Sus scrofa: one gene and its partners. The protein of the gene in region 5 interacts with the protein of the main gene of each other region in a pairwise test. Links are inferred from orthologs where the notes say so. Each region holds a gene or a part of one and is shown on either strand. Other genes may lie near its edges. The genes, in order: BET1, VAMP4, STX6, CYBRD1 and STX4.

Region 1 (6,283 bases), on a different chromosome or scaffold from region 5:
CAACTATGAAACTAGAAAACCCAAATCGCCTACTTTCTATAACCATCATTCATGCCAGGGAAAGAAATTTCCAGGAGAAAAAAGCTTTCTTCTGACAAGGTGCCTAAATGATCAATATTGGAATTTAAAAAAAATCATTTAATTCTTAATTTCTTCTAAATATTGTATTTTCTACATTATTAACATACACTATTGCTTAGTTCATAGATTACATCCTTTTGATTTACTATGACCTTGAAAACAGTGCTCATTTCAGAATGTAACAGTCTCCAGGCTGAATATAATTCTGTTTTCCAAAGTTTCAGCAACATGACTCAAAATTTAGACATGATTTTAGTACAAGTTTAGAAAATGTGGCCAATCAAAACATATAGTATATATAGCACAGAGAACTCTACCCATTATTCTGTGATAATCCATGTGGGGAAAAAATCTGAAAGAATGGATGTGCATGCATGTATAATGGAATCACTTTGTTGTACAGCAGAAATTATTACAACATTATAAATCAACTGTACTTCAGTGAACTTTTTTTTTAAAAAAGGAAAAAGAAAACAACACACACAAAAAACATATGGTACATTTGTTTATTTTCTTTAAACTTCAGCTGTTCTTTGTAGCTAAATCTAAAATGCTGTATGTCTGTAGTAATGTCTCAGAGCATTCCACCTTCCACCCCCAAGCAGCTTGTCTTCTGAGTCTTCTTCTTCTCATCTCAAAAGCTTTATATCTCAGTCTTTCATGTTTCTGCCTTTGTACCTCATGTCAGTCACCAGGTCCTATGCACCTTTCTTTCTACTGTTTCTATTTCATCTTCTCTATTTCTAATAGTATCCCCTGATTTTCTTAGGTGAACTTTGGGAAAGCCTTTTAACTTCTCTGTTCCTAATTTTTTGCATGTTCTGAACTGAACTATACTCTGTCATTCTTTTAGAGTATTTTTAAAATTGCACCCTGTGCTCCCAGAAATCTTCAGTGGCCTCCCATGATGTTGAAGTCCACACTCTGTGGCTTGATCACATAGGTTCTGCAAATATCATCCACACCTTTTCAGACCTTACCGCCCATACTTCCAGAATGTGTGCATGCTTTCTGCCAGACAGATTCGAGACCTCCTTGTGCCCTGTGCAGATTGTCACTCTCCCACTCCCATATCTTTGGTCCTGCTATTCCTTTTCCTTAGGTGTCCTCTCCCTCCTGACATTCACTTAAGTCTTGCCCATCTGAAAGGCTCCTGCTCTAAGCTTTACCTAATCACCACATCAAGGTACCTTTTTCTTTATGAACACAAGACTGTTCATACCATTTCTGTAGGACTTATTGCATAATGATCTGCATTGGAATTACTTGTATGTAAAAGAAATTGACTAGAATATAGAGCTTTCGGAGTTCCCGTTGTGGCGCAGTGGTTAACGAATCTGAATAGGAACCAGGAGGTTGCAGGTTCGATCCCTGCCCTTGCTCAGTGGGTTGACGATCTGGTGTTGCCGTGAGCTATGGTGTAGGTCACAGACGCGGCTTGGATCCCGAGTTGCTGTGGCTCTGGCGTAGGCAGGCAGCTAAAGCTCCGACTGGACCCCTAGCCTGGGAACCTCCATATGCCATGGGAGCGGCCCAAGAAATGGCAAAAAGACAAAAAAAAAGAAAAAAAAAAAGAATATAGAGTTTTCTATTGTAATTAGTTTTATATTCTACATAGCACTTAACATAATTCCTTATAGTCATATTGAGTTAATATGTATTAAAGGAATTGCAAAAAGCTAGTTTTAACAGTGTATATGATTGATTCTGCATTAAAATAAAGATGCTATATACTATAGAGCATTCACTGGAAGATTATGTTGCCAAAACTTAATTGGTATTTCATAGTCTTTGGAAGATAGAATTGTGTTCAGCCTGGAGACTCATATTCTGACATGAGTATTGTTTTCGTGGTCATATTAAATCAAAAGGAGTTAATCTATGAACTAAACAATGTTAATAATTTAGAAAATATACTACTTAGAGGAAATTAAATGATTTTTTAAAAAATTAACATTGATAATTTTGGTTCCTTGTTAGAAGAAAGCTTTTGTTTTCCCTGAAATTTTCTTTCTTTGGCACAAATGACAGCTGAATTAAGTGATTTGGACTGTCTAGCTTTATAGATGCTTCATTTTCCCTGAATTGCTGAATTTGAAGAAAAAGCTCATATTCTGATATATAGAATTCTACAGTGGTTTTGGGTAAATATTACCCCATATGCTTTCCACACAAAATAAGTTGACAATATTTGCAATGGTTTGCCAAAATTTTCAGTAGTTTCCAAGATTTAGTAATAGTATATTTATTCAGATATCTTAGAAGTGAAGCCTTTGATGAATTTGTCATATAAAGTGTTTGGTTTGGTTAGTAGTTGTAGCCACTTATTTCATTTAGATTCAACCTCTGTTCTGCATAGCTTCTGGATATGGATAACACCAGCTTGTAAAATTTTTTTCCAATTTTTTATCATACTTTAAAGAAAATACCTTTAGAATCTAATAATTAATTTAGATATATATTCAAAATATTGTCACATTTCTTTAGGAAAATATTACTTATATCTGGATTTGAATTGATAATATGGGAACTTGTATGCATTTTTAAAATGTAAACAAATAAATATGCAAATAAGTGCTGTTGTATTAATAATATAAAGAGAGCAAGAATGTAAGGATAAGAGAACCAGAGAGAAGTATGTACCAAAATCAAAAGATAGACTTAAACATTAGATGAAATCAAAATGAAGAACAGGGAGACAATGTCCATAGTGGGAAAGGAATAGAAATTCTAAATTTATTTTCCATTAATTTCAGTGGGAAAAATATCAAAAGAAGACAGGTATATTTTATATTTTTAGAATATGATTTTATTTGAGAAAATGTTTATGCTTCAAATGACATCATTGTTTTTACTTCATAATACCTAAAACATTTATATAAGCAAAAATGTATATGCTTTCTTCTTTATAGCTTTCCATTGAAATAGGCCATGAAGTTAAACATCAAAATAAATTATTAGCTGAAATGGTAAGTGATTATGATTTTAACATTAGGAAACTTCATCTGATAGTCTCAATTTTGGTTTGGAATAGATCTAAGATTTGTTTTTGCCATATTTTTACACTTTTCATCTTGCCTAACACATATAAGCAGGAGGAGGAGGTGGAAGCCCATGTATTCTTTAATCCTGTGTTTAGAAACAGAATTAGACTCAGGAAAAATCTCTGTTTTGAGCTTTCTTAAAGATCTCAGTGGATGGAGACTGCCAAGTACTCAAAAGTTCTTTATATCCAACCAACAAAATGACTTTCACTTAATGTAAACCTCTTTCTTTTGCTTGATTTCCTGAGGATCACTTGGAACAAGTCAATAAGATTTGAACATAGTAACATTATCTGGAGTCTAAACAAGCCTTTTATCTGGAGTCTAAACAAGCTCAATAACATATACCATTTCTTGTTAGAGGCGCTTTCCATTCTCTAATGTTATTTTGGATGTCAAACTCCTGTGGACCTTCCCTAGTTTCCTCACATGCTTTTAAAATTTATACTATTTAAAAATGTATGTTGCACTAAAAGCAATCTCCTTGCAAAGGTTGTGCATTAGGATCACTTGAGGAACTTTCTGAAAATATTTATGCGTGGTTCTCACTCTAAATATACTGATTCAGGAGTTCTCATTCTGGGCCAGCAGGAACCTCTCTATGCCACAGATATGGCCCTAAAAAGAATGAATGGATGAATAAACAAACCAACACACTGATTCAGAATTTTAGAGGGAGGTACCTAGTTGTCTATATTTTGAAAAAAGCATCTCAGATGCTTCTGATACATAACCCCAATAAGGAACCATAGATCTAAGGTGCTTGAACTACATAGAACCTGAGCTGTACAAAGGTTGTCATTATGCCAGGATGTTAAGATTTATTTGAAAGGGCAATGTTTCTAATCCATACCTGGTCCTCTTAAGGACTTTTTCAGCTATGTTTTAATGTGGTGGTTTTTCCCCATCCATATTTGCCATCTTTGCCACATTTTACCACCTCTAGAATATTCTGTTACCTGTTAATAGACTCTGCTGACCTTCAACGTCAGCTACCTGAAAAAAGGATCTAAAAGTAAAGGTATGTTTAGCTGCTAACCATGTTTAATTTTGGATGAATTGCTGTACTTGGAAGCAGCTAGCCATTTGACCTTGAAGAGCAATGCCCTACCAATAAGTGGGAAAAAACCCGTGTGGGTAGATGAACTACTTGCTTTTATTGTTAATGCTTTTTCATCCACGTAATTAGAGTAAGATCTAAATACTTTGGAATTTTGAATTACTTTGAAGCTGGAAAAAATATTTACTGGATGATGAAAGAGCTTTTTATTTATTGAGAAAATTACTCTATTTTGCATAATCAGGCTGATTATCTAAGTTATAAACAGGCTCTTGAATTAATTAAACACAGAAAATGTCATTAAAAATGTGTTCTAATAACAATATATTAAATTCCTTACATGTGCATATGTAGAATATCAGAATCTAACTACTATATTTTGTTTTCCTTTTCTCCTCATAGGATTCACAGTTTGATTCTACAACTGGATTTCTAGGTAAAACTATGGGAAAACTGAAGATTTTATCCAGAGGGAGCCAAACAAAGCTGCTGTGTTATATGATGCTGTTTTCCTTGTTTGTCTTTTTTGTCATTTATTGGATTATTAAACTGAGGTGATGCAAGTAAGTGTGAGTTTGGAATTTGTTCCAACTTAGGCTTGGAGTACCACTTTGGTAAAAAATCAGCATCTAAACATTCCTAACTTTCAAATACTGTGGCTTTTTCCATTGAAGATTATTGAATTTTACTTGTTTTGTAAGTCACATTAGATAATACAGTGCTCATTGAATACTGTTTCTTAATGATTCCTTTTTTGCCCCTATTTTCAGGGGTATTAAGCTGGTCTGAGGTCAGTCTGGCCCTAACATTTTTCTTTCCTATTTTTTACTGTCAGATTAAATAGCAGTATAGTATTTTGTCATTACCATAAATGTAGGTTTCTGTTCCATGTAAAGAAACTTAGTGGGAGAATAACAGAATGCCTTGAGAGCCTGACAGCGGGCACTTGAAGTGGTGAGCAAGTGTGTGATGGATGGTAAATGTATTTTCCTGAACTGTCATTGCCCCCAGTGATGTACTCTCCCTCTCTTCTCCTTTATTTGGTTAAAAACTGTAGGGCTTATTTCTTTTTACATACAATTTTAATAATTTTTGATGATAGGACACCTCTTTCTTCTCTGCCCAAGGACCTCATTCTTAAATAAAACTTGTTATTTTGGCATTATTTCTTCTAATAGGGTCCAAAACAGGTGTACCAGTACATTACAGAATAATGTGAAGCTAAAGCAATTGCTGAGCTTAATGTGGAAATAAAATGTTCAAGAAAATTAATTGCCTCTGCTTTATTATGTGCTGCTTAGAATAAATATTGGACATACCCAAGCATTGAATTTAGGGTTAAGAGTATTGTTACTTTAATGCAGTGTGTTTGTTTATCGAAAACAAAATGCAAAAGTGGACTGCTAAGTATAAAGAGATAATAAAATATTAAATGCTCTGTATTGGTATTATTTTGGAATTTGACCATTTATGGGCTCCAAAAATAAAATTTTTAATGAAATATATTAATTGACTTTGTGACTTCTTTGTTCAAGTTTTTCTCTCTCTCTCTCCCTCTCTCTTCATAGACTCTGAGAATTGGTTCTGAAAACTCAGAACAAACTTAGGGAAGCTTAACATATTTGTATTATTTCAGGACTTGCTTCAAACAAATGAGATAAATCATGGCAGTAGTTTCAAAAAATCTCTTTAATTTTACCTATAAATCCATTAACTTTATGCTGAATTTGCTGTCCTTTTTGTTCATCTCTAATTACCTATCAATTTAGGCCTATGTTTTCTGGCTCTATTTGTGGCCATCTGGGCCTCTACATAACAGAAAAGATACCAGAGGTGAAGGGGTTAAGTGACAGCATGTGAGAGACAAATCCGAGGTGTGAGGTAAGGGACACTGGATTGAGTTACGTGACCTGGGTTCAAATCTCCATTCCTTCACTTGCTCTGTATTTTGGAGCCTGTTTCTTCATTAAATCATTTATTTCATAGGATTGTTGTGAGAGGAAGATAATGTATTGGAAAGTGCTTGACAGATGATAATCATTTAATAAATGCTAGCTCTCCTGATCATTAACGGACACAACACATCTGAAAAGGGAAT
Region 2 (7,001 bases), on a different chromosome or scaffold from region 5:
CAAGCAAAACAAAAACAAAAGCTGCAGAACGACTGAGAATAAAGGGATGACAAATAATTCCTGGATTGTATTTCAAGGTACTTCTAAATCATAAGATGTTGAACAGAGTGTATATGAGGTCCTGAGATTGTGCAAAAAAGCAGCATTAAAACAAAAGTCAGGTAGACTATCGGCTCTCTAAGGGCAGGGACCATGCCCTCCAATTTTTAGCACAATGCCTAGCATGTAGTTGGTGGCCAATAAATGTCTGTTGTATGAATCAGCAAATGAAGGAATGGCAAGAAGATAGGAAGTGAGGGAGGGCTTAGGTTGCTGAATGAAGAAGAACAGCTCTAATTCCTTCCCTTGGTAAATACTTATTGATTACTTATTCTAAAAGTAACCTATCTAAAATATTCATATCAATGTTGTCTTCCAAAATGCTGCACAATTTCTAGATTTATACAAATCTGCATAGAATGTTCTGGAATAAACTAGAAACTGAACATTATTTAAAAGCTACTCTGGACTTTGAGAATCCTTTATCTACAGTTCCAAAATCTGAAAAGTTCTAAAAACCAAGAAATTTTATTAAGTTTGGAGCCAAAACTTATTTGGAGGAAAATATGACCTGAATTGATGTTGGCTAATTTACTTACATACTTAGTTAGAATAATAAGACATTTCACTGAGAAATGTTATTATGTTTGGAGATGCTAAAACGGCTGTTGTACAACGTGCATTTACCTTTGTAAAAATATGAAAAATTCTGGGAAACTCCACATTTGGCTCCAGACTTGTAAGATATTGTGTATTTGTACAAAATTTCCTTGAAAAGACTAGAAAGAAGCTGGAATGTAATTTGGTGAATAACGGAGTAGAATTTGGTCGGGTCCCCAGTCTAAGTAATATACACTTTTTAATGCTTATTATGACAAAAACAAATAGGATTAGAATATGACCATAAATGTTAACTTTTTCTAAAACAAATTATTTACAAAGGAAAGATATTTGAATCTTTCTTTTTTAAAGACTGACTCTGAACTTATCCTTTCAAATCAACTATAATAAAAAAATTTTTTAAAAAAAGTACCCTTTCACTTTTCACAGAACCAGTGACATCATCATCATTTAGGTGGCGCTTGAACTTGGGAGGCATTTTTCAAGTGAAGAAGTACTCTTCTACTTCCCAGCAGATTAAGTCTTCACCACCTTAAAGAGAACATAACTTTCATCAGATTTGAAGTTTTAGGATATAAGTACTGAAAACAGCATACAGGGCCCCTCACTACTCTAATTCTCTTTTAGTGAGCTGCTTAATGATTCAATTTTCTCATCTGTAAAATACTGATTTCTAGGCTTCTGCACAGTCAGAATGACCAAATCAGATTAATAAATACATGCAAAAACATTCTGTAAATTATAACTTTGTTCTGTTCTAAAGCATGACACTAGGTGCCCCAAGAAAAGGGATAATGGAGTTCCTGCTGTGGCTCAGTGGGTTAAGAACCTGACTAGTACCCATGAGGATGGGGGTTTGATCCCTGGCCTTGCTCAGTGGCTTAAGGATCCGGCATTGCCACAAGCTGCGGTATAGCTTGGAGATGGGGCTCAGATCTGGTGTGACTGTGGCTGTGGTGTAGGCCAGCAACTGCAGCTCCTGTTCAACTCCTAGTCTGGGAACTTCCATATGCTGCATGTTTGGCCCTAGAAAAAAGAAAAAAAGAAAAGGGATAAGTTTGAAAGGATTGGTTATACAGAGCCAGGTTTTGTTTTGTTTTTATTTTTATTTATTTTATTTTTTGTCTTTTTCCCTTTTCTAGAGCCACACCCGTGGCATATGGAGGTTCCTTGGCTAGGGGTCTAATCGGAGCTACAGCTGCCGACCTACACCACAGCCACAGCAATGCTAGATCCAAGCCACGTGTGTGACCTACAGCACAGCTCATGGCAATGCTGGATCCTTAACCCACTGAGCAAGGTCAGGGATCTAACCTGCAATCTCATGGTTCCTAGTCGGATTCGTTAACCACTGAGTCACGGTGGGAACCCCTGTTTTGTTTTTATATATGGCCACACCTGCAGCATATGGGATTTCCCCGGCCGGGGATCAAATGTGAGCCACAGCTGCAGTGTATGCCACAGCTACGGCAATGCCGGATCCTTTGACCCACTGTGCTGGGCCAGGGACTGAACCCGCATCTCCACAGTGACCTAAGCTGCTGCAGTCAGGTTCTTGACCCACTGTGCCACAGTGGGAATTCCAACAAAGTCAATTTTTTTGTTTGTTTTGCTATACAAAGTCTCATAGCCTTTTATATGCTAACATGCCCTGTGATTTTTTTTTTTTCAGGAAAATGCTTGAGTATGCAACATATTCAAAATTTTCTTGAGGAAAAGCTGATATATGAAAATATGAGTTTTTAGTATGATGGACTAGAAGATGGATAGATGAGAAAAGCTAAGGTGTACTGAATGTTTTACTATGTGTTAGGCACTGTGTTCAGTGATTAACACATATTTTCTTTTACTCTTTACAACATGCCTGGGAAGTAGACACTAAGAAACCAAGAGAAAACTAAGGCTTAGTAAAAGATAAGCAACTAATAGTGTTAATCGCTCTGTTGATTGAAACAGCAGAAACACAGGACTAAATTAACCAACTGCTGTGTATGATTGGTTTTAATGATCCAATTAGTTATCAGGTTACACACAGTTCTGTTCTGGAAAGACCACTTTCTTTTAACAACCCAGCAGCCCCCTTTTCCTTTCTATAAGAACACCCCTAAGATCTTTAAGTAGACATCAGTTTGTTGGTTAATATTACACACTTAAAAAAGAATAAACATGCCCAGAGTCCAGTTTCATAAACTAAATAAAGTAAAATTTTAAGTTGATTTCCCATCAAAACAAACTGATAAACACTTTGCTTTGGTATGAGACGATTTTCCAAACCAGAAACTTAAATCACCTGTAACAAAAACCAAATACTTGCTACCTAAGTTAATAGCTCTAGAGTTCTTCATTCCACAATATTTCTGTCACGTACATCTGGCATCTGACCCATTTATTCCTCGTACTTTGATTTCAGAATAACTCATTCAAGCAGAAATGTTACAGAATGCATGGAGAAACAGACAAGGGAAGCTACTGAAGCTTTTCTTTTAATTATATCTGTATTTTATTTATATTTTAAATCCTACAAAGGGGCTACTGCCATGTTCAAAAGCAAGTAACAGGCAGACTTACATAACATCTTTATGAAATATACAGTAGAGCTACAAGTTTAGTGATAAGCAAACCCAAAATCAGGTCCCATAATCCAAGGATCAGCCTCAGGAAGGCAAGAAATCACTGACAAACATAAAAGCCATCAGCAAAAGAACAGGCAGACTAACTGCTTGATGAACCACAGAGCAATTGGTATTTGTACCAAACAAGTAGAAGTAAACCATGCTCAGAAATTAGACTTATACATATTCTTTCTACCTAAGATTTCTCCTGCACAAAATACATATGAATTCAGGTGTTTGTGTCTAGGTATAAATGTAAAGAGCGCCTTCATGATGTATCTCAACACTGACTGGAGACACCAACACATTTTTAAAATGTCACATCACCATATGCTTTTTATGTCATCCTACGTTTACAATTTCATGTATGTATTTTTGAAGAGGCAGTACGTTCTGTATTCAATTGCTTTATACGTAATAAACTTCTAACCTGTTGTTTAATAAATGCTGTATTCTTTTTTGCTTTACAAAAACAAGCAAACCACAACTCCCAGTACTTCATTTCACAAAAAGCTTGAATCTGGCAGAGGCTTCCGTTTTCTCAGCCTCGTTCCCTTTCTGACTCCTCTTCCTCATCTCTCATCGACAGCCTGGTTCGTGCAGCTTCATGGAAATAACTGACTTGGTTGGCCAAAGCCTGGAGATATTATTCACAAAACCTGTCAAAGTGTAACATTCACCCCACCTTCCGGTCATTATAAATGTAGCGGAGTTGGCGCTCTCTCTCAAGCCTTTGAATAATGAAACAAATCCGTCTCTCCAGCAAGCAGCACTGTTCACCCCCTATACTCCATCGGTCGCACCAGGCCACGTCCCCCAACATCTGCTCCTACCTCTAGTCCTTTCTGCCCCAAGATACCTGCTCACACTCCGGGCTGACTCCCACTCTTCTGCAATCTTCCCCATCCTCGCCACTGTTCTCTTCCCATCTCCCCAGAGCACCCTACAATTCCTAATCTTCTCCCCCTTAAACCTCTCCCCCCCATTGCACACCCCAGTCCTTGTCATTCTTACTCAGGGCACCCCCGGTCCAACCCCTTTTCCCACTAGGGGTTCCCTCCACTACCCCCGAGGCTGGTCCCCCAGCCTGACGCGGACGTTGGGGGCGGCGGGGCAGGGAAGTCATCTCCGTTTCCTTCCTCCGCACATGAGCCCCTCCCTTCGGGACAAGGCGTGCGGCCGTACCTGAATCTCCCCGGTAGCTCTGAGCAGCTCTCCCGGGCGGGCAGCTCTGGGCGGGCGGGGGAAGGAGTGGGAAGCGGAGGGAGAAAACAGGGAGGGGGATACAGTGGGCGCGGACCCGGCGTCAGCCGCTCCGCCGCAGCTGCGCCCCCGCTCATCGAGTCGATCGGCGCTCCGCGTCCCGGCGCCAGGAGGAGGGGCGGGTCCAGGCCACGGAGATCATCGAGGGAGTCGATTCCGCGTGCAGCTTTCTATCCAGAGGTTTTTGCGGTCTCAGAGTTTACATCTGCATCCGCAGGATGGGCTTGTGCCTTAAGCGAGGAACAGTCGCGGGTTCCTGAGGTCCCAGCCGGGGTCGGGCGTTCAGGAGAGGTAGAGAAAGCTCTGAGAAGTCACCCAGGGGTGGGCGCTGAGGGCTTGATCCTGACTGGGGTTGATGAGGCGTTACTAAGATGGTGTTTTGTTGCTGGCTCCATCCCCTGGGCTAAGGAAGCGGAGCAGAAAAATGAGGATGGCTCAAAGCCCGAGGACCGGCTACAGCCTTTTCTGAAGTAACATCTGTGTGATCCCTTGTTTATAGAATCAGAGTTAGACTTGGAGGGAGATCTTAAGTGACCAGTCCAGTCTCCTTGTTTTAGACATTAGGAATCTCTGGTCCAAAGAGATTGACTTGAGGTTGCACAACTAGTTTGGACAGATCTGGGTCGAGGATTCGGTGTTCTTTCATCTGTTATTGTGGAGTCCTAACCTAAAATAACCGGGTCCAGACACCAGGTAGACACCAGAGCCTTCAGATTTGAGGTGGAAGATGACTCCTGCAGGGCCTTTCCACTGTTCTCTTGACTCCTCCTACCTCCTCTCCACCCAAATTAGTAGCATATTTAAGCCTGCAGTACCAGGGTTCAGTAATACAAAATAATTCTAGTTTTACCTTTGCTTTCCCTTATTTACCCATTCCTCCCACACACGCCCCAGCTGGATTGTTTTATCAATTTATTTCTACCAATTTGCTCCACTTTTTTTTTTTTTTTTTTTTTTTTTTACTAAATATGGCTCCTTTAATACAGTGTTTTTTGATTTAGTGTAATTTAAGCCAAACAAACACTAATTGAAATATACCTTAGGTAGGGTAATGACTCTCAGGTTAATGATGTAGAGAGTTGATTTTTTTTTTTTGGTTGGCGGGGCATGCGAAAGTTCCTGGGTCAGTGACTTGAGCCTCAGCAGTGACAATGCTGGATCTGTAACCCACTGAGCCATTGGGGAACTCCAAACTGAATCACCTGGAAAGCTTTAACAATGAGTGCCCATGCCTTTCTCTGAGATTCTAATTCAATTGGCCTGGGATGTTGAGAAACGGTGAGCCATAGGTTGTCAACCAAAGCTTCTGAAAGTCTGGTATTAGACTATCTGTGAGTCCACTACTCAGATCCAGGCTGACTTGGACTGAAATTGTCCACCTGGAAGGGAAGTTACTTCTACTATGTTTTTCTGCCTGGACATGAAGGTCAGACTACTGATACATAGATGACCCAGAAGTTTTTTATTTTTCGTTTGCCTTCTACGGTTGATTTTGTATCTGCATATCTGCTTGTTATTGGTACTTCCCTGCTTTGGTGACTCAGTCAATTAGAGCTTTAGCCAGTTACAGCCTCAGCCTTCTTACAGGACAGCTGAAGGCAATATGGTTATTGAGCTGGACTGACATGTCATTGTATAGCTTGTATGTATAAGCCATTCTTTTTGTTTTTAACCATAGTACTTTAGTTCTGCCAGATATTTTGGTATGATTGGTTTGGGAAAGGGTGATGCCAGCCCCACCACTCCATTGCCTGAACAAGCCCCTTTGATTATCCCCAACATTTCTGAAAGCTTAGAAAGTATCATTTTATAGTTAGTATGAATCAGATATGCCAGTTATCCTGAACGAATATAAATAGCCCTGGACCTAGAACCAGAATGGGGTTCCCATCTCAATAACTGGAATTATTTGATTATCTCCTACCCTATTTTCTCTTTCTTGAGCTCCAATTATTCACATATTGGTCCTCTAATTCTCTTTAAATTGTAGACCTTCATCCTTAACTGGGCCTGGTATCCTCCTAGACAGAAATCCTTTGTTTCACTCTTTCAAGACTAAGTCTCTTGGGACTGACTTGGAATAATCTATCTCTCTTTTTTTTTTTTTTTTTTTTTCGGTCTTTTTGCTATTTCTTTGGGCCACTCCCGCGGCATATGGAGGTTCCCAGGCTAGGGGTCAAATTAGAGCTATAGCCACCGGCCTACGCCAGAGCCACAGCAACGCAGGATCCGAGCCACGTCTGCAACCTACACCACAGCTCACGGCAACGCCAGATCGTTAACCCACTGAGCAAGGGCAGGGACCGAACCCGCAACCTCATGGTTCCTAGTCGGATTTGTTAACCACTGCGCCACGACAGGAACTCCCCTAAACTATCTCTTGATATGTTGTTGTTGAATGGTGAGACAAGCAAGATACAGAACAGTAGGTAGACTGCTTCCGTGTGAGCCACACACACACACACA
Region 3 (6,733 bases), on a different chromosome or scaffold from region 5:
ACCAGGTGCCCAGATTTTGCCTCTAAGTATTTTTTTTTTAACATATCTACCCCTCCTCTCCATCTTCATTGCAGTGAGCCCATCTCAGGACATCCCCATCCCTTCTCTGGACCATGACCTTCCAGATGACTTTTCAGCCACTGCTGCACCTGTCTCAAATGCCAGCATTATCCCTCAGCTATCGTGATGTATAGCAGCAGCTCCACAGTTCCTAACATCACAATCAAGGGCCCCGATTAACTAGCTCTGCCCATTTTCAGCCTTAGTTCCTGCTGCCACAATCTCATTTCTTCCCCTCCAGCAATGCCCTCTGCCACGGCTGCCCTCCAGGCTGCCACGCTGTCTCCTGGCTGCCCCTAGCCATTGTTTAGAACCCACTCTCCCCCCCAAACACAAATAAACTGGTAGCTTTTTTCTGCGTTTCTATGGCGACCCATGCTCTTTTCTCATTTTGTATAATGGCCTGTCTCTCCCACCAGTCTGAGAATTCCTTGATGGCAAGGACCAAACGTGTTCATCTCTGTGTCCTCTGTACCTAGCGCACAGTAAGAGAACAACACATGCCAGGCACTGTTCTGAGCGTTTTTCAGACATTAATTCATTCAGTCCTCACGCCACTTTATGAGGGAGGTGTTTTGTGGTGTCCATTTCATAGTTGAGGACAGAGACTAAGCAGTTTGCCCAAGGTGCAATAATCAGGAAGTAGCAGAACTGGGATTCAAACCCAAGTAATCTGGTTGCAACTCTGGATCTTAATCACCATTCTCATCTCAATTTCCATGTGTTTGTTGAATGAATGAAAGATGATCCCTTTTCAATTCCTCACCTCAATATGTTCAGAACTGAAACAGTTCTCTTCCAGGAGGGTTCCCCCCCACATCTGACCTCCATCGCTCCTCCAGGGTCTTGGAGAAGCCTGGAGTCTTTGACTTTTACCTCTTTCCTCCCTGATCCCATTCAATCTCTCATCAAGTCTAGTTGTTTTGTTTTGTTTTTCCTTGGAAACATCTATCAGATTCTCTCCTTCCTCTCCATTTACAATCCCTGCTGTCCTGGTCTAGTCCTCATCCCTTCAGGTGAGATGACCACAGCAGCTTCCAGACTGGTTTCCCTAACTTCACTTCCTCACTCTGTGGGAGACTTGGGGTTTCCAGGCTTTTTTTTTTTTTTTTTTCCCCTTTTAGAGCTGCACCTGCAGCACGTGTAATTTCCAGGCTAGTGGTCGAATAGGAGCTGCAGCTGCTGGCTTATGCTGCACTTCAAGGCAACTCTGGATCCTTAATCCACTGAGCGTGGCTAGGGATGGAACCCACATCCTCATGGATACTAGTTGGGTTCTTAACCCCACTGAGTCACAACAGGAACTCCATCTAGCCATTTTTATTTAAACTTCACAACAATCTATGAGCTAAATATTCATATTTTATAGATGAGAGACTGAATAACAGAACCCAGGTTCAAACAGGGTTTGTCTGGCTCTGAGGACTCTTCTATCTTCAAAAAGACTGCTAACTTTAAGCCAGTCACTTAAATTCCAAGTCTCAGATTTCTTATCTGTATAATGGGGATTACAACATTGTGAGAGCACCTGAGATAAACTAAGCTCAGTGCCTGCCACACAGTATGTGCTCAATGATAATCAGCAATTAAAGTTCGCAAAACCCATAGACTATCTAGCGTATGAGTTTGATAAACTGTTCTGACCAAAAGGCTTCCTGGAAGAGCTCTTGAACCACTTAGCTGGTAAGAAGTTGCCAGACCTGGCCCCTTCTTTGTCCTTCAAAAATGCTCTCTTCCAGGAAGCACCATATGCTGTATGAAAAAATTATCTTACTGATCACTTCAAGAACACAGAAAAGACAAAAAACGCAACACACACAAAAACACATCCTAGCCTGGTGGAAAGTGCACAGAATCTGGGGCTCTGCCCTGTCCAGGTTGTGTGAGCACAAGAAATCTTGAAACCTATATGAATTTTTCTAATCTGCAAAATGGGAATAATAATACCTTCCCCTCCAAGGATACTGAGATAACTCACAGCCTTCAGCGTCTTGCTGGGCACTATAAGACCCACAGAAAGGAGTTGTGCAACATTATCAGAGTCAGATAAGGTAGACGAGCTTTATTCTAAGTCGAGGACGAGATGGATTTCTAAATCTATATGTTATCAAAATAAGTATCAAAAGGAGAGGAAAGGTGAAAAGATTGTGCAAAGCTGATACTATCTCCGTATCTAGGAAACCTGACTACCTTTCTTGCCAGGGAACAAGCAGCTCCTCCCCCTGAATCTTGAGAGGTGAGTGTTGAGAAGACCCGCCCTCTCCGCCGCCGCCAGAGCCCCGCCTCCAGGGTCGAGTAACGCAAGGCCCAGGCCCTGCTGATGGGGGGTGGGGGGGGCTCTGGTCACGTGAGCGCGAGTGCGGAAGTGGTGCGGCTGACGGCGTTCGTGATTGGTCGAGGCTGAGGGACCTGGGGGCGGGGCCAAGCGGCCGGACGCGCCGGGAGGAGCCGAGGAGGGGGCCGCGCCGGGGCCGGCGCCAGAGTCACGGCTTCGGTCTGAGGTGCAGACAGAGTACTGGACCCGCGGCGGGCCGGTGCACCCCTGCCTGCGCGCGCAGCCGCTACAGGTCCCGCAGGCCGAGACGCGGGCTGCTGCGCGAGGCGGGTGGGGTGGGCAGAGGGAGATTGGGAGGGCGCGGGCGCCCTGTGCGCAGAGCAGGCGTGAGGCGGCCGGGGGCCGGGACGCCATGTCCATGGAGGACCCCTTCTTTGTGGTGAAAGGGTGAGTGTCGTAGGGGGCTCCACTGGAGGAGGCGGCGGCAGTGCTGCCTGCCCTCACCTCCCCGCTTTTCTCGCTCTAGGGGGAGGGGAGACAAGTAGAGTCTGGCGTGGGGACCGCTTAGCCTTGAGGGCTATGATAAAGCGTCCAGAGACATCCCCTCTTCGTGCTACCTGGACTTTGAAACCGTGCCCCCAGTCAAGCCCCTGGGGAGGGGGGGGGTCTCCTTTGGCTTGTGCGCCGTTCTACAACTTATGGAGGGGTGTCGAGGGGTTCAGCAGCTCCTCAGGTGGGGAGGGAGACAGGCGTCCCAGACCAAAGTGGGGCTGTAGTGGAGCACCGGGCCCTGCTTTGAAGGGGGAAAAACAGCATCTGGGCAGGAAAAGGGAAATGGGCCTCCTGAGCTTTGTAGTTGGCGTGGACGGGGGTGAGCTCCCATTGTCCATTGAGTTCGGAGCGCTGGCCCGCTGACTGGCGAGACCACAACAAGCCCAGAGGCGTCTGAGCACGTTTGCAGGCTGGGAGGCGGGGGCGCGAGGCTCCGGAAGACAACTCTATTCAGTGGGGGAGTTTTTACCGAGTAATGGGAGGGGAGGAAAGCTGCTGTTCAAACTCAGTGGTGATGTTGGAAGGAAAACAAAATGAAATCAGCCAAACCAAACTTTCCTTAGCTTTCTGTTAGCACAGGGATTTTCCCACAGTGCTAAAGGAAATGAGTGCTTTCTTTTTAACTCCCTGATTTCATCCAGGCTATTTGACAGGTTTCCCCCATTTCTTCTTTTTTCTGCCTTTGAGACTAGAGCTGTCCTAACTTATTTTTCCCTAAGAAGTGTCGTGACTCCATCTTTGATTGCTCAATTGTTTGTTTGGAGATAGAAGCTTTAACTGCACTCTGTTATATAGGCTTTGTAGCCATTAAACAAATGCAGAAAAGATTGATTCTGTTGTTATAACTTGTCAGCTTTTGTTTTAAATGTCAAACAAAACAATCTGAGAACTGCAACGTTCTGGAAAAATCAGTGCCAATGACCTTAAAGTGCCTCTGCTTTCAACTAGTTGCTACTAGCTTCCTATTTCTGTAGGGGTAAAAGTTGACCAGTTGCTTGAGTGTTATTTTTTTTTTTTTACGGTTCATTTTACAAAATTTAAATGGTACTTTAAGTTAAATACTTTATTACCCATGATACAGTTAAATATATTTATGTATTTCTAACATTGCCTTTAAAAGTTTTTTTTTAACCTGACTTTAATATAAATGGAAAAACGCTGAGTTTAGATTATTGGTAATATGTGGCTCTCTACCTGGAAAATGTGTGGTTTATTAGGATTGATTTTTAGGGGATAATTTTTAAATGTGAAAACTGTTTTTTCCTTGAGTGAACGTTCTTAATGCTTAGGGTTGCAAAGGTTATCTCTGGCTGTGGAGACTGTAGATAATCAGAATTTTAAAATTTTTAATGGGATTTGTGAAAATGCAAAATTGTTTTGCCATCTTGACTTTTTTTTTCTTGATGGTAGCCAGTGCAGTTCACCAGTGCTTGCTCACTGATTAGATATCACTGCTTTATTGGAACATTGGCCTTGAGTCTTGCTTGACTTTGACATCATTTTAGCTCATGTTCTTAAGATGTCAAAACCTTCTGCTTTGTGGGAGTTCCCGTTGTGGCGCAGTGCAAATGGATCCAGCTAGTATCCATGAGGACATGGGTTCCATCCCTGGCCTCACTCAGTGGGTTAAGGATCTGGCATTGCTATGAGCTGTGGTGTAGGTCACAGATGAGGCTTGGATCTGGCTTTGTTGTGGCTGTGGTATAGGCCGGCACCTGTAGCTACAATTCAGACCCCTGGCCTGGAGGGAACTGCCATATGCCACAGGTGCAGCCCTTAAAAGAAAAAGAAAAAAAACCCTTCTGCTGTGGAAAAGTAAAATTAGCTACATGAGTGCCTCCACAATGTGTGAGGGAATGTATGGAGCCATGTATCTCTGCTTATTGAAAGTTTTGAAAATGCACCCCACGATGTGGAAAAATTAAAGATGCTTGAATTGTGGCCCTTAGCCTAGGAGCTGGTAGTCTAATCTGAAAAAAACTTACCCCCAAATTAAGTAGAAATGACAGGTGGTAAGTGATCAAATGCTGTAGCCTAGGAGCTGGTAGTCTAATCTGAAAAACAACTTACCCCCAAATTAAGTAGAAATGACAGGTGGTAAGTGATCAAATGCTGAAGTGAATGCTACAGAAGATTAGGTGCCCCAGTAGTCCGGAGAAAGGCATCTCATTAGGAATGGCTGTGGTTGGAAAAGCTTTGGAGGTAGTAGTATGTCTTAGGTTTTGAAGATGGGTAGCTCTTAGATAATTCAGCCTGTGTCTCTTCTGGACTATTGGCAAGAAGAGTATCCATTTGGTCCTCTTGCTCCCAATCCCTTTCCTCTTTCATCTATCTTAGTTCTGCTGGCTGGGTGCTCTCCAGTATGCCGGTGTGAGCCACACATGCCGTGTTACATTGCCTAGTAGATGCAGTAAAAAGTAAAAGACAAGTGAAATTAATTTTAATGTCATCTTTAACCAGTATACTCAAAATATTTCAACATGTGATGAATATAAAGACTGTTAATGAAAGATTTTTCCCTTTTTGTACTACGTCTTAAAAATCCGGCGAGTATTTTGTACTTAGAGCACATCTCAATTTGGACACTAAATTTTCATCAGAAACACTTGATCTTTATTTGGAGTTCATTAAACACACAGTTCAAAGTGCGGATTGATGTACCCAGATTGTTCCACGTATACTTTCAGAATTTTTGGTAGCTGAAGTGTATATCAGTTTTTAAAGTTAAATTAAAATGTAAAATTTAGGAGTTCCCATCGTGGCTCAGTGGTTAATGAATCCGACTAGGAACCATGAGGTTGCGGGTTCGATCCCTGCCCTTGCTCGGTGGGTTAAGGATCCGGTGTTGCCGTGAGCTGTGGTGTAGGTTGCAGACGCGGCTTGGATCCTGCGTGGCTGTGGCGTAGGCCGGAGGCTATAGCTCCGATTCGACCCCTCGCCTGGGAACCTCCATATGCCACAGGAGCGGCCCTAGAAAAGGCAAAAAGACCAAAAAAAAAGAAAGAAAATTTAAAATTTAGTTCCTCGGCCACACTAGCCTGCTTCAGCAGCCTCATGTGGCTTCCATATTGGGGGCAGCACAGGTGTAGCTTTTCTAGAACCCATGCAGGAGTTCTCTCCTTAACATCATTTAGTGGCAGTCTGTTGCCTATAGAGGTAAATCTGAACACTTCGGGATGCAGCCTTTCTCCACCCTTGCTCACTCTGCCTGCCTTTAGCATGGAGCTCTGGCACTGCCAGACTCAGTCTAGTGACTATGACCACAGTACTGGGTGTTCTTACTTTGCCTAATTCACCCACTCAGCTTTTTGGATTCACTGTGAGCATCTCACTATCTCCAGGAAGTGCTTCCCTTGGCACCTACAACACATTATTGCACCTCTTCCTCTGGCTGTCTTTCATTATAAGAGTGTGAGGTCTGAGGGTCTGCTTGTTTTTCCCGTATTTCCAGCCCAGCACTTTGAGTATATAGCATCAGTGTTGAATAAATTCTCCTTGGTATTGGTGGTTCGTGGTGGGAACACTACCGGCAGAGGCCTTGAAACAGGCAACGTGTGTTTAGAAATCAAGGAAAGCATATTTGGGAAGGAAGTATATTTGGGAAAGTAATGATGATAATAATAGGAGGAAACTCCTATGCCAGGCATTGTGTGCTAAGTAAGCACTTTATAAGAATTTTCACTTTAGGAGTTACCGTCGTGGCTCAGTGGTTAATGAATCCGACTAGGAACCATGAGGTTGCGGGTTCGATCCCTGCCCTTGCTCAGTGGGTTAAGGATCTGGTGTTGCCGTGAGCTATGGTGTAGGTCGCAGACGTGGCTCAGATCCCGTGTTGCTGTGGCTCTG
Region 4 (5,145 bases), on a different chromosome or scaffold from region 5:
CTCTACCTACATCGAATTTTATGTGTCTACTATGTACCAGGTATTTTGCAGGGTATTGGGGATCCTGATGACACTATTGCCAATTTTGGAAAAAGAGTTAAATAAGAAGAAAACTGTTTTGTCAAAGGAGTTTTGAATGGTTATCGTGAAGCTTAAGGGACATGATGGAGTGTAGCTGGTACTCAGTCTATGGAAGTAATTATCAGCTACTCTAAAAGGAAGTTCACTAAGTACCAAAAATGTTACGTTTATTTGGTGTAAACTGTGCAGTTTTTATTCACCTTAAAATGTTCCAGTTAAAAATTGCAGGGAGGAGTTCTCGTGTGGCTCAGCAGTTGAAGGACCTGGCATTGTCACTGCAGTGGCTTGGGTCACTGCTGTGGTGAGGGTTTGATCTCTGGCCCTGGAACTTTCACATTCCATGAGTATGGTTCCCCTCCCCCCAATAATAATAATAAATTAACTTAAGAAAATTGCAGGGTAACCAAAAATCAACTCCAAAGTGAAAAGCATCATTTCTGCATGGGTACTACTGTAGGTTTTTGCTTAAGTCAGCCCAGAGCCTAGACAGAGGTCTTCATGCATGAAAGTTGTCATTTCTGAGTCTCAATTCACTGCTGAGAACCCAAAGCTCAAGATATCCCCTAAAATTCCACCCAAGTCAGGAAGGACCCTAGCTTTTACACCTGGAGAAGGGCAGACAATGAAGTCATTCTCTCCTATCTCCAAACCCAGAGCTGGTCAGCAGCTAAGACCATGAAGAGTTAAAATTACAACTGATGAATCTTCGAAAGCTATGGATGTTCCTGCCTAAATCTTTCTTTCTTTTTTTTTCCCTTCTTTTTTGGTCACCCTGAGGCATATGGAGTTCCCAGGCCAGGGATCAGATCCGAGCCACAGTTGCAGCCTATGCCACAGCTGCAGCAATGCCAGATCCTTAACACACTGTGCTGGGCCTGGGATCGAACCTGCATCCTGGCACTGCGGAGACACTGCTGATCCAGTTGTGCCACAGTGGGAACTCCACTAAACCTTTCTTTTTCATCAAGATACAATTTGAAGATCAAAGGGGTATGAAGGTAAGCCGTGGCTGGTTGGCAGTGGCAGGGTGCCCATGAGGAAATTCCAGGTAAGGGTTGGCCCTTTGCCGTGGCTATTTGGAGACTCTGCCTTGGAATCAGAGCCAGAAGGTAAATTTTAACAACTCTATTGCACTCCAGCAAATGATGTTTATCCAGAGGGGGGTCAAGGCAGGTATAAATTAGTGCATAACAGCAAAAACAGCCTAGTGAAGTGGTTAGGATCATGGACCGAGGTGTCAAACTGCCAGGTTGTGAATCTTGTTCCAACATTTAAGAGCTGTTTGACCTTTGGGCAAGTTTCTAACCTTCCCCAGTCTCAGATCTCTCATAAGCAAAATGAAGATTTTAATAGTACCTACCGAATGAGGTTTTTCTAAGGATTGAATGAACTGAGATTTGTAAAGTGTTTAGTGTATTGTCTGGCATATAGTATGTTCCATATAAGTACTTTTTAAAATAAAACCAGAAGCTTGGGAAAAAGTGCTCTTTGAGGTTTGGAGAGCAGTTTATACTGCCTAAGCATGCAGGCATATTCTCATTCTAATTCGGTTTGAAATCTGAATCATAAAGTACACTAAACCCAAGGAAGCCTTGGGTGAAGTCAGTTTTGGGAAAATGTCCAGGTCCGATCAGAGGTGACCTGTTCAGCTACATAGGCCCAGTTACTTCCCCAAATGCCCTAAGAAAAACCTCAGTCTCCAGGGCCAATCTAAGGTCAAACGAGCTGGGGAAGGAGCAGAGGGCAGGCACAGGGAAAAGGGAACCGGTTATTCTCCTAAATTTTTTTCTGTGCTCTGGTCATATCTGTGCAGCATAAACCCTGTCCCAGATCTTCATGACCTGATTCCGAAACTTTAGAACTAGACTCCCAGAATTAACAGAGAATGACTGCGTGACAAGAGCCTGGGGAAGGTGTCAGTTTATCGCATTTACCAACTGATAGAAACATTCTCGTCATTCGTTCTACACAAGGCACGATGCTAAATGCTTTGGTCCTCAACAAGAAAGAGGTAACAGAACCCCAATTTATATCCACTGTTATTTACACTGATCATCTCCCTTTCAATTCAGGTTAAGTTCATAGGCCTCAATCAATACAAACATTTCCAAGAAATCCTACTTCATGATTAGAATAAATATTGGCTCTGTGGAGCTCAATCATCTAACAGCTGAATAGGAGAAGCTAAGCTCTAGAGCTTGTTTGAAAAAGCCATGTTACCTGGTTACCCCTCCACCCCATTTACATGGTGGATCTCTGTCCAGCCTCATCCAGGGCGAAGTTTCTTTTCCTTGCTGCTGCTTCACTGTTTAACTCTGAATCTGATTTGTCCATGTTGCCAAAGTTCACTGCCATGGTACCTTCGGCTCCCTCTGGAGCGCCTCCATTTGGGTGAAGAAGGACAGAATTTGGTTCCTTAGGACGTTTCCATTGCGGTCTGGTGACTATCCAAAAAATGAGAGCCCCAAACACCAGAACCAGAAGGCCGAAGGTATTTGTGAAAACACCTTCTGGTGGAAGGGTACTGTATGCAGGAGATTGCCTACAAAAAAGGAGAAAGTGTGTCCAATTATAGAGGGTGATACAACAACACGCCACAGAGTCTTGAATGTATCTGCTCAAAATACACACTGGTATGGCTTCAACATAAATCCCTTTAAGGCTTGATAATATGGAGAAATTTAAGTGAGGCCATAATTCACTCAATGGACTAGTATGAAATCATTAAAAATCATAAGTATGAAAATAATTTATTATCGGAGTTCCCGTCGTGGCGCAGTGGTTAACGAATCCGACTAGGAACCATGAGGTTGCGGGTTCGGTCCCTGCCCTTGCTCAGTGGGTTAACGATCTGGCGTTGCCGTGAGCTGTGGTGTAGGTTGCAGACGTGGCTTGGATCCCGCGTTGCTGTGGCTCTGGCGTAGGCCGGTGGCTACAGCTCCGATTCAACCCCTAGCCTGGGAATCTCCATATGCCGCTGAAGCGGCCCAAGAGATAGCAACAACAACAACAAAAGACAAAAAGACAAAAAAAATTAAAAAATAAAAAAAAATAAAAATTTATTATCTAAAACACTTGTATTACTTAAAATTGAAAAAAGGACACACAAACATATGCATGCCATAATTACAATTAATATAAAAACATGCACATCAAAAGGACTGCAAGAACATGCATAACTTTAATAATAAAGAATGGTACAATCTGTTCGACTGGTTTTTCTTCCAAGCATTATTAATGCTAAATTACCTGTATAATATATTTTTTAAAATAAATATTTAACCTTTTTTATTTTCAACCTTTAAAAATTTTGCTACATTTATATTATATTCATTCAATGAACAAGTATTTAACATTCTGTCACATAACTACTGCAATTAGGAAAACTATGAACAAACTTACAGGGCAAAAATCAGTTTCTCGGTCACTCCCATAAGTACTGTTGCAATCACTGTTCCAAAGATGAGAAGTCCAGAATAAACGTGTATGGGCATGAGAAGTGCTCGGAGAGAAAGTGGAGCCCAAGGAAGCAGAAAGACAAAAAAACCTAGAAGCAGCTAAACACCGAAAAGTACAAAGGTTATCCTTTATAAGTTTTAACTAATTTAAAAATTATCATAAAGAAATTGTATGAAATGAAAAAAATTTCGTGTAAAACTGGCACACACACACAAAAAACAAAAAAACAATGGCATAAGATGAAGTTTCCCCACTCCAGTTCCACTCAAAAGTGACGCCTACTATCACTTCCTCAAGTATCCTTCCAGAAAAATTTCTATGATGAACAAGCGCGTGCGTGCGTGTGTGTGTGCGTGTGTGTGTGTGTGTGTGTGTGTGTGTGTTTAAAGAGAGAGGGAGTTTTTTGAAGTGTAAGTGGCATTTTACTATATATATTTGTTCTGCATATTGCTTTTTTCCTTAGCAGTATATCTTAAGAGATATTTTCATATCAACACATGCTTATAATAGTTTATTCTTTAATGGCTAATGTTTTATGTTAAAACTCTAACTTAAATTATTCAGTTCCCTATCAATGGACATTTCCAGTTTTTTGCTGTCACTAACAAGGCTACAGTGAACATTCCAAACATTCTCACTTTTTTATTTTTATCCATTTCCTTCAGGCTGCCAAGTAGGAAGGGAAGACAAGATTTTTAAGTCACTAAACCCAAAACAATAGGACATATTTCTTCAGTTCAACATAAGAAAACTCTGTGGAAAAAACCTGAAAATTTTGTTTGACGAGGAAGAAATGAATTCTGCAGAAAATTCCATTTCCCTGATGATTAAATCTCTAGTGGGATAACTCTGCAGAGAAGACAAGATTCTTACATAAACTAAAGTCTGTGAATGCGCTCACAATTTTATTTTGTTGCCCCACATCCCTGTACATTAAGTACTCTCTTCTCCTCAAGAAAATGGAGATGACTTAGTGACCAATGAGTTACTGAGTTTAAAGGAACTTTTTTTTTTTCTCAGATAATCTCTTTGGGATCTAGCACCCCAACAAAACGACTATGAGAAGAGAGGAGAATGAGAGGAAACACTAGCATCGCTGTTCATTTTTCCTGGTTGAGATCAAAGGACTAATGGAGATGGAGAAGAATGAAAGCAGAAGGGGCATGATGCCCTGAAGCATATTTAGAATCAGCTTTTTTTTTTTTTTTCTTTTTGCCTTTTCTAGGGCCGCTCCCACGGCATATGGAGGTTCCCAGGCTAGGGGTCAATCGGAGCTGTAGCCACCGGCCTACGCCAGAGCCACAGCAACGCGGGATCTAACCTACAACACAGCTCACGGCAATGCCAGATCCTTAACCCACTGAGCAAGGCCAGGGATTGAACCCGAAACCTCATGGTTCCTAGTTGGATTCGTTAACCACTGCGCCACAGCAGGAACTCCTAGAATCAGCTTAAAGGCAACAGGGATGAATGGAAAGCAACTGAAAATGCACTGGATAAGCTGATTTGGATGTTTTACTGTCCATTAATACCACAACTCCTGAATATATTAGAAACAGTTCAGAGTTCCATTGGAGGTTCAGAATGTTCCTAATTCTCCTTCAG
Region 5 (6,089 bases):
CAAATGATCTCAGGCAGGACGAAGGCGTGGGTACCTTCCCAGACTTTTCAGGCAGCGAGGGAGCAGGAACCCGCCCTGCCTTCTCACGCGAGGTCCTGACTCCCTACCCGTGACCTGCTCTCACCGCTGGCCGCCTCCCGCCTCTTGGAGTTTTGATCAAGGCCCTGGCGCTCTGCAATCCAATCGCATTCCGGTGCGTCTGTGCAGAGGCTCTGAGGCCCCGCCCATATCAGCGTCCTCTAATTGCTCACTCCTTCAGGACGCCCTAAGGACCAATCCTGATGCTCTTCAGGAACAACATTTAGGTCCACTGGCCAATCATTTTCCAGGTGGCGACCGGGTCACCAACACCCCCTCTGGCACGCCCCGCCCCGTACAGTGTACCCTCGGACTTCGCGCAGGCACCATGCAACGGTGCAACACGTCCACAGGGAGGCGCTGTAGGCGGGCGCCCAGCCGCGAATGGAGGCTGAGCTGGCCTAGTGGCAGCGCGCCCCTGCGACTCTCTCTCTCTCTCTCTCTCTCTCTCTCTCTCTCTCTCTCACCCCTCCTCCAACCCGAGTGCAGGGGCTGGGTCCCAGTCTGCACCAAAGACAGCACGTGGCCAGCCCTTCCTGGACTCTCATCAGCCTGGCACCCACGTGTGTACCCGATGCAAGCGATATTGCGGCCCGATGCGCGCTGGGCAGCCAGGAGAAGCAGCGGCAACCTGTGGGATCGAAAGTGGGATGGGACTGGGCGGCTGGAACCCGGCCCCCAGACTTTGGTCGGGGTCAGGCGCCGCCCTACCACTACCAGGCTTAGGAGCCAGAAGCCAGCTTCCTGAAACCAGGGGTCTGAAGACTGGCAGCACATCCAGCTCCAGAACTAGGCAGGGCACCTGCAACTCTTCGAAATTTAAAGTCCGGAGCTCAGGTGAGTTATGGAAACCTGGGGTCAGGCTCCCCTGCCTCCTCTATCCTCTTCAGCCACAAGACCCCTGGGAAACAAGGTGAGCTGATCCAGGGTGGATGGCTCATTAGCCTGAACTCCTATCTAAAAGGCAATGCTTTTTCTGGGCACAGGGCCTGGCCTCCTGAACCCTCTGCCTGGCAACCTCTTCCCTGATTCTTCCCCTCCTCATTAAGCACCACACTCAAATATCACCACCTCCGAGACAGGCCCTCCCTGCCAACAACCATGTTCCCAGTGTAGCTCAGCAGTAACAAACCTGACTAGTATATCCACGAGGATGTGGTTCAATCCCTGGCCTCATTCAGTGGGTTAAAGATCGGGCATTGCCATGGCTGTGGCGTAGGCCAGCAGCTGCAGCTCCGATTCAGCCCCTAGCCTGAGAACTTCCATGTGCTTCAGGTGCAGCCCTAAAAAGAAAAGAAAAAAAAGTAAGACCAAAAAAAAAAAAAAAAAAAAAAAAAAAAAAGGAGTTCCCGACATGGCTCAGTGAATAACAAATCCAACTAGGAACCATGAGGTTGCAAGTTCGATCCCTGGCCTCACTCAGTGGGTTAAGGATCTGGTGTTGCCGTGAGCTGTGGTGTAGGTGGCAGACGCGGCTCGGATCCTGCATTGCTGTGGTGTGGTGTAGACTGGCAGCTACAGCTCCAATTAGACCCCTAGCCTGGGAACCTCCATATGCCGTGGGAGTGGCCCTAGAAATGGAAAAAAAAAAAAAAAAATTAACAGAGGCAATTATTTGTCACAGTGCCTCTTCTTGGCCTCAGCAGCGCCCTCAGATGCCACACACACACACTCAGCTCACCCGTGTCCAGCCTGGCCTGGCCCAGCCTCGCTGCTGTGGGGTTAGGTGGTCACGGGGTCTTTCCCCAGGGACAGTGGGTTGATGTGGGTGTTACCCCCTCCCGGCCCCACCTGTTCTCATGGGAGAGTAGAAGGGCAGTGGCAGGCTGGCATGGCCACAGCACCCAGGACAGTCTGATCTGAGGCTACCTGGGCTGGGCCTGTCCGCAAGGGTGGCCAGGAGGTGGAAGGCGGTGGAGACCTGGAGGCCCTGGACCAGCCTTTTCAGCAACACATGTGCAAAGGAGATTCTCCAAACTTTTTTTTTTTTTTTTTTAATTTCTTACAAAACCACGGGTCCCAGCCAAAGAGGACACGGCAGGCCTGCCCCCAGGCATGGTGGCCCAAGGGGGGGAGGCCCCATGGATGAGTGGCTGCCGGCCCTGGAAGAACCGTCTGCCCCTCTGGCCAGTGTGAGGAAGGGGTCGGGCTGGAGGCTCTGTCCTGCCCACCCCTGGCTTCGGGGAGGGAAGGCAGCCCCTGGGTCCCTGGTGCTCTTAGCGCCTGCAAGGGAAGGAGGGAGAAGAGGGTCTGAGGGGAGGAGGAGAGGCTGGGGGCAGGGAGGGGGCAGGCTGGGGGGGCCCCACAGAATCTCACCGAGAATCCACGATGCTGTCACACCAGAATGGAGACGCTAATGATGACCACCAGGATAAGGAGAGTGACGGACAAACAGATGGCGATAAAGACTTTCTTCTGTAGGAGAGGAGGAGGGGGGATGGTCGGGGAAACTCTCGGGGGGCGGGGGGAGAGAGCCCCCCCCAGGGCAGGGGAGTGGGTGGCGGGACGCTCACCTTCCTTGCCTTCTTCTGGTTCTCCAGGGCCATCTTGACGTGTTCCTGCCCACGTTCCACATAGTCTGCTGAGCTCAGAATGTTCTTCTCGATTCGGTTGATCATCTCCCCCTGCTCAGAAGAGGAGGGAGGGTTCAGGCGGGTAGGAGGGACTCGGGGTGGAGGCCCAGCAGCTCCTCTGTCTGCCCACCACAGCCCCAAGACTGAAGGGCGTTCCTGGCTGAAAACAGGGCACTAACAAAGGCATGGAGAAGTTCCCATTGTGACTCAGCGGGTTAAGAACCTGATTCGTACCCAGAGGATGCGGGTTCGATCCCTGGCCTCGCTCAGTGGATTAAGGATCCGGCGTTGCCGTGAGCTGTGGTGTAGGTCACAGATGCAGCTCAGATCTGGTGTTGCTGTGGCTGTGGTGTAGGCTGGCAGCTGCACCTCTGATTCAGCCCTTAGCCTGGGAACTTCCATATGCCCTGGGTGCGGCCCTAAAAAGACAAAACAAAAAACAAAAGTGGAGGCAGGACCACATCTGGCCGAAGTTCACACTCCAAAGGGGGCTTCCAAGCCCCCTTCTACCTTGTGGTCCCTTCTGCCCTGCTCCCTTGCCACCTATAGCCTCTACTGGCAGGGCTGGCTGGGAGCTGGGTGCCTTTAATGGCTCATATCTTTTCATGGAGGGCAAGCTTCTGTCCCCTCACAAATCAGTCTGAATTCACCTGTTCTAGGCCTGACTCCCAGCTGCTGTGAAGCTCCCTGATCCCTGTCTCCTCCCGGCACTGCCAGCCTTCAGGTCCTGGTGCTCCTGCTGAGCAAAATCTCTTCCCTGGGAAGAGCAATGGCTCCAGCACTCACGGGGTAAGAGCTCCTTCTGGACGGGGTTGGAAGCACCCCTTCTCTTATAGACCAGGGCTGGGAGAAGAACACCATCGCCCGCCCCATGCTTGTGCAAGTTCTGGGAGGCAGGTCCTCTGGGGGGCAGTTCAGGTGCTCTCAGAGGTATAAGGGTGGAGTCTGTTAGTGGAGGGGGAGCCAAAGTTGGGGCCATGCCCGAGGTGGGCTCAAGTTTGAGGACTGGGGTGCAGTGCACAGAAGAGTGGCCATCTGGGTAGCTGTTGAGGAGGATACGATTTTTCTTTTCTTTCTTTCTTTTTTTTTTTTTCTTTTTAGGGCTGCACCCATAGCATATGGAAGTTCCCAGGCTAGGGGATGAATTGGAGCTGCAGCTGCCGGCCTACGCCACAGCCAAAGCGATGCAGGATCCGAGCCGCATCTGCAACCTACACCACAGCTCACAGCATTGCCAGATCCTTGACCCATGGAGCGAGGCTAGGGATCGAACCCACATCCGCATGGATACTAGCTGGGTTCATTATCGCTAAGCCCCAGGGGGAACTCCTGAGGAGGACGCAATTTGGAGGCACAGCTAAGATGGAAGTACAGGCCAGTCTGGAGGAGAACAGAAGCCTCGCAGAGAGAGGCTAAGAGTGGAGGTGGGCGGACAGTCACAGCAGGGGTTCTGGTTGAGCAAGGTCTCACATGTGGGGGCAGGATCAAGCCCAGCCGGCTGCCTGGGGCGCCCACCTGCATCTCCACCTCCGTAGCCAGAAAAGTGAAGATCTCATGAAGTTCACGGATACTGCGCTCGAGCTGCTGGATCTCGCTGTGCCGGGCCGAGATCTCATTTAGAGCCTGTCGAGTCACCTGTGTGTCCTTCAGTATCTGGAGAGTGGACAGGGGTGGAGGGAGAGGTCACAGGGAAACCAGCCATAGGCTCAGAAGTTCATGGTGATGCATGAAAGTAAACTCAAAATGGCTTAAAGACTTAAATATAAGACAAGACACCATCAAACTCCTGGAAGAGAACAAAGGCAAAACATTCTCAGACATCAACCTTATGGCTATTTTCTCCCAAAGCAACAGAAATAAAAGCAAAAATAAACCAATGGGACCTAATCAAACCGACAAGCTTTTGCACAGCAAAGAAAACCAAAAAGAAAACAAAAAGACAACTTACAGAATGGGAGAAAATAGCTTCAAATGATGCAACTGACAAGGGCTTAATCTCTAGAATATATAAGCAACTTACACAACTCAACCACAAAAAAGCCAACAACCCAATGGAAAAATGGGCAAAAGATCTGAACAGACATTTCTCCAAGGAAGATATACAGATGGCCAACAAGCACATGAAAAAATGCTCAATGTCCCTGATTATTAGAGAAATGCAAATCAAACCTACCACGAGATACCATCTCACACCAGTCAGAATGGCCATCATTAATAAGTCCACAAATAACAAATGCTGGAGGGGGTGTGGAGAAAAAGGAACCCTCCTGCACTGTTGGTGGGCATGTAAGCTGGTACAACCACTATGGAAAACAGTATGGAGATACCTTAGATATCTATACATAGAACTACCATATGACCCCACAATCCCACTCTTGGGCATATATCCAGACAAAACTTTCCTTAGAAAAAACACATGTACCCGCATATTCACTGCAGCACAATTCACAATTGCCAAGACATGGAAACAACCCAAATGTCCATCGACAGATGATTGGATTAGGAAGATGCGGTATATATACACAATGGAATACTACTCAGCCATAAAAAAGAACGAAATAATGCCATTTGCAGCAACATGGATGGAACTGTAGACTCTCATGCTGAGTGAAGTAAGTCAGAAAGAGAAAGACAAATACCATAGGATATCACTTATATCTGGAAGCTAATATATGGCACAAATGAACCTTTCCACAGAAAAGAAAATCATGGACTTGGAGAACAGACTTGTGGTTGCCGAGGGGGAGGGGGAGGAAGTGGGGTGGATGGGGCGCTTGGGGCGCATAGATTCAGACTATTGCCTTTGGAATGGATTAGCAATGAGATCCTGCTGTGTGGCACTGGGAACTGTGTCTAGTCACTTATGAGGGAGCCTGATAATGTGAGAAAATAGAATGTGTACATGTACGTGTAACCAGGTCACCGTGCTATACAGCAGGAAAAAAAGTTGTATTGGAGAAATAACAATTAAGAAAAAAACAGAAAGAAGTTCATGGTGAGCCTTGGGGCAGCCCTCCGGCCTAGAACCGGGGCCAGGGCCCTGAGGAGTGATCCCAGGCAGGCTCCTTCATTCCCTTCTGGGCCTCAGGATTCCCTCCATGCAAAAGGGCCGGGACTCAGAGCGGACAGAAGGAGGCCGGCCACTCACGTTGGACACAAACACCTCGCTCTGCCCGCTGTCCAGCATCTGCTCCAGCTCCTCGTCAGACACCATGCCAGCATTTGCTGTGAAGGGAAAGGCCAGGCTCAGCGCTGGTCAGGTCACCTGACCCGGCAGGCCCGGCGCCGCAACTCACTGATCTTCAGCTGCCTCCGGATCCGCTCCACGTTCTTCTCCCGGTACTCGGACTGCATGGAGTTGCACTTGTTGATGAGCTCCACGAATTGCTGGGACAGGACCCCATGCTAAGGAGGGAGAAGAGAGGCTGGGCACCCCTG

The links.
Region 1: the proteins of STX4 (region 5) and BET1 interact in binary tests that used the Homo sapiens proteins (3 or more experiments, as listed by UniProt). The two-hybrid records come from large-scale screens. The link is inferred for Sus scrofa from reciprocal best matches to the Homo sapiens genes STX4 and BET1.
Region 2: the proteins of STX4 (region 5) and VAMP4 interact in binary tests that used the Homo sapiens proteins (3 or more experiments, as listed by UniProt). The two-hybrid records come from large-scale screens. The link is inferred for Sus scrofa from reciprocal best matches to the Homo sapiens genes STX4 and VAMP4.
Region 3: the proteins of STX4 (region 5) and STX6 interact in binary tests that used the Homo sapiens proteins (3 or more experiments, as listed by UniProt). The two-hybrid records come from large-scale screens. The link is inferred for Sus scrofa from reciprocal best matches to the Homo sapiens genes STX4 and STX6.
Region 4: the proteins of STX4 (region 5) and CYBRD1 interact in binary tests that used the Homo sapiens proteins (3 or more experiments, as listed by UniProt). The two-hybrid records come from large-scale screens. The link is inferred for Sus scrofa from reciprocal best matches to the Homo sapiens genes STX4 and CYBRD1.

The regions. Positions count from the first base shown.
Region 1 is NC_010451.4:73,781,564-73,787,846, reverse strand, and holds the end of BET1 (BET1 homolog), read left to right. Parts: intron 1-2,993; coding exon 2,994-3,050; intron 3,051-4,587; coding exon 4,588-4,743; 3' UTR 4,744-5,690; downstream 5,691-6,283. UniProt on the Homo sapiens protein: Required for vesicular transport from the ER to the Golgi complex. Functions as a SNARE involved in the docking process of ER-derived vesicles with the cis-Golgi membrane.
Region 2 is NC_010451.4:114,170,356-114,177,356, forward strand, and holds the start of VAMP4 (vesicle-associated membrane protein 4), read right to left. Parts: upstream 4,614-7,001; 5' UTR 4,458-4,613; intron 4,376-4,457; exon of another isoform or gene 4,287-4,375; intron 3,932-4,286; exon of another isoform or gene 3,703-3,931; intron 1,192-3,702; 5' UTR 1,139-1,191; coding exon 1,073-1,138; intron 1-1,072. UniProt on the Homo sapiens protein: Involved in the pathway that functions to remove an inhibitor (probably synaptotagmin-4) of calcium-triggered exocytosis during the maturation of secretory granules.
Region 3 is NC_010451.4:122,576,381-122,583,113, reverse strand, and holds the start of STX6 (syntaxin-6), read left to right. Parts: upstream 1-2,540; 5' UTR 2,541-2,747; coding exon 2,748-2,782; intron 2,783-6,733. UniProt on the Homo sapiens protein: SNARE promoting movement of transport vesicles to target membranes. Targets endosomes to the trans-Golgi network, and may therefore function in retrograde trafficking.
Region 4 is NC_010457.5:77,688,599-77,693,743, reverse strand, and holds the end of CYBRD1 (cytochrome b reductase 1), read right to left. Parts: intron 3,639-5,145; coding exon 3,484-3,638; intron 2,624-3,483; coding exon 2,323-2,623; 3' UTR 2,228-2,322; downstream 1-2,227. UniProt on the Homo sapiens protein: Plasma membrane reductase that uses cytoplasmic ascorbate as an electron donor to reduce extracellular Fe(3+) into Fe(2+).
Region 5 is NC_010445.4:17,420,213-17,426,301, forward strand, and holds the end of STX4 (syntaxin-4), read right to left. Parts: intron 6,057-6,089; coding exon 5,948-6,056; intron 5,877-5,947; coding exon 5,800-5,876; intron 4,305-5,799; coding exon 4,167-4,304; intron 2,703-4,166; coding exon 2,592-2,702; intron 2,494-2,591; coding exon 2,413-2,493; 3' UTR 2,395-2,412; intron 2,302-2,394; 3' UTR 2,054-2,301; downstream 1-2,053. UniProt on the Homo sapiens protein: Plasma membrane t-SNARE that mediates docking of transport vesicles. Necessary for the translocation of SLC2A4 from intracellular vesicles to the plasma membrane.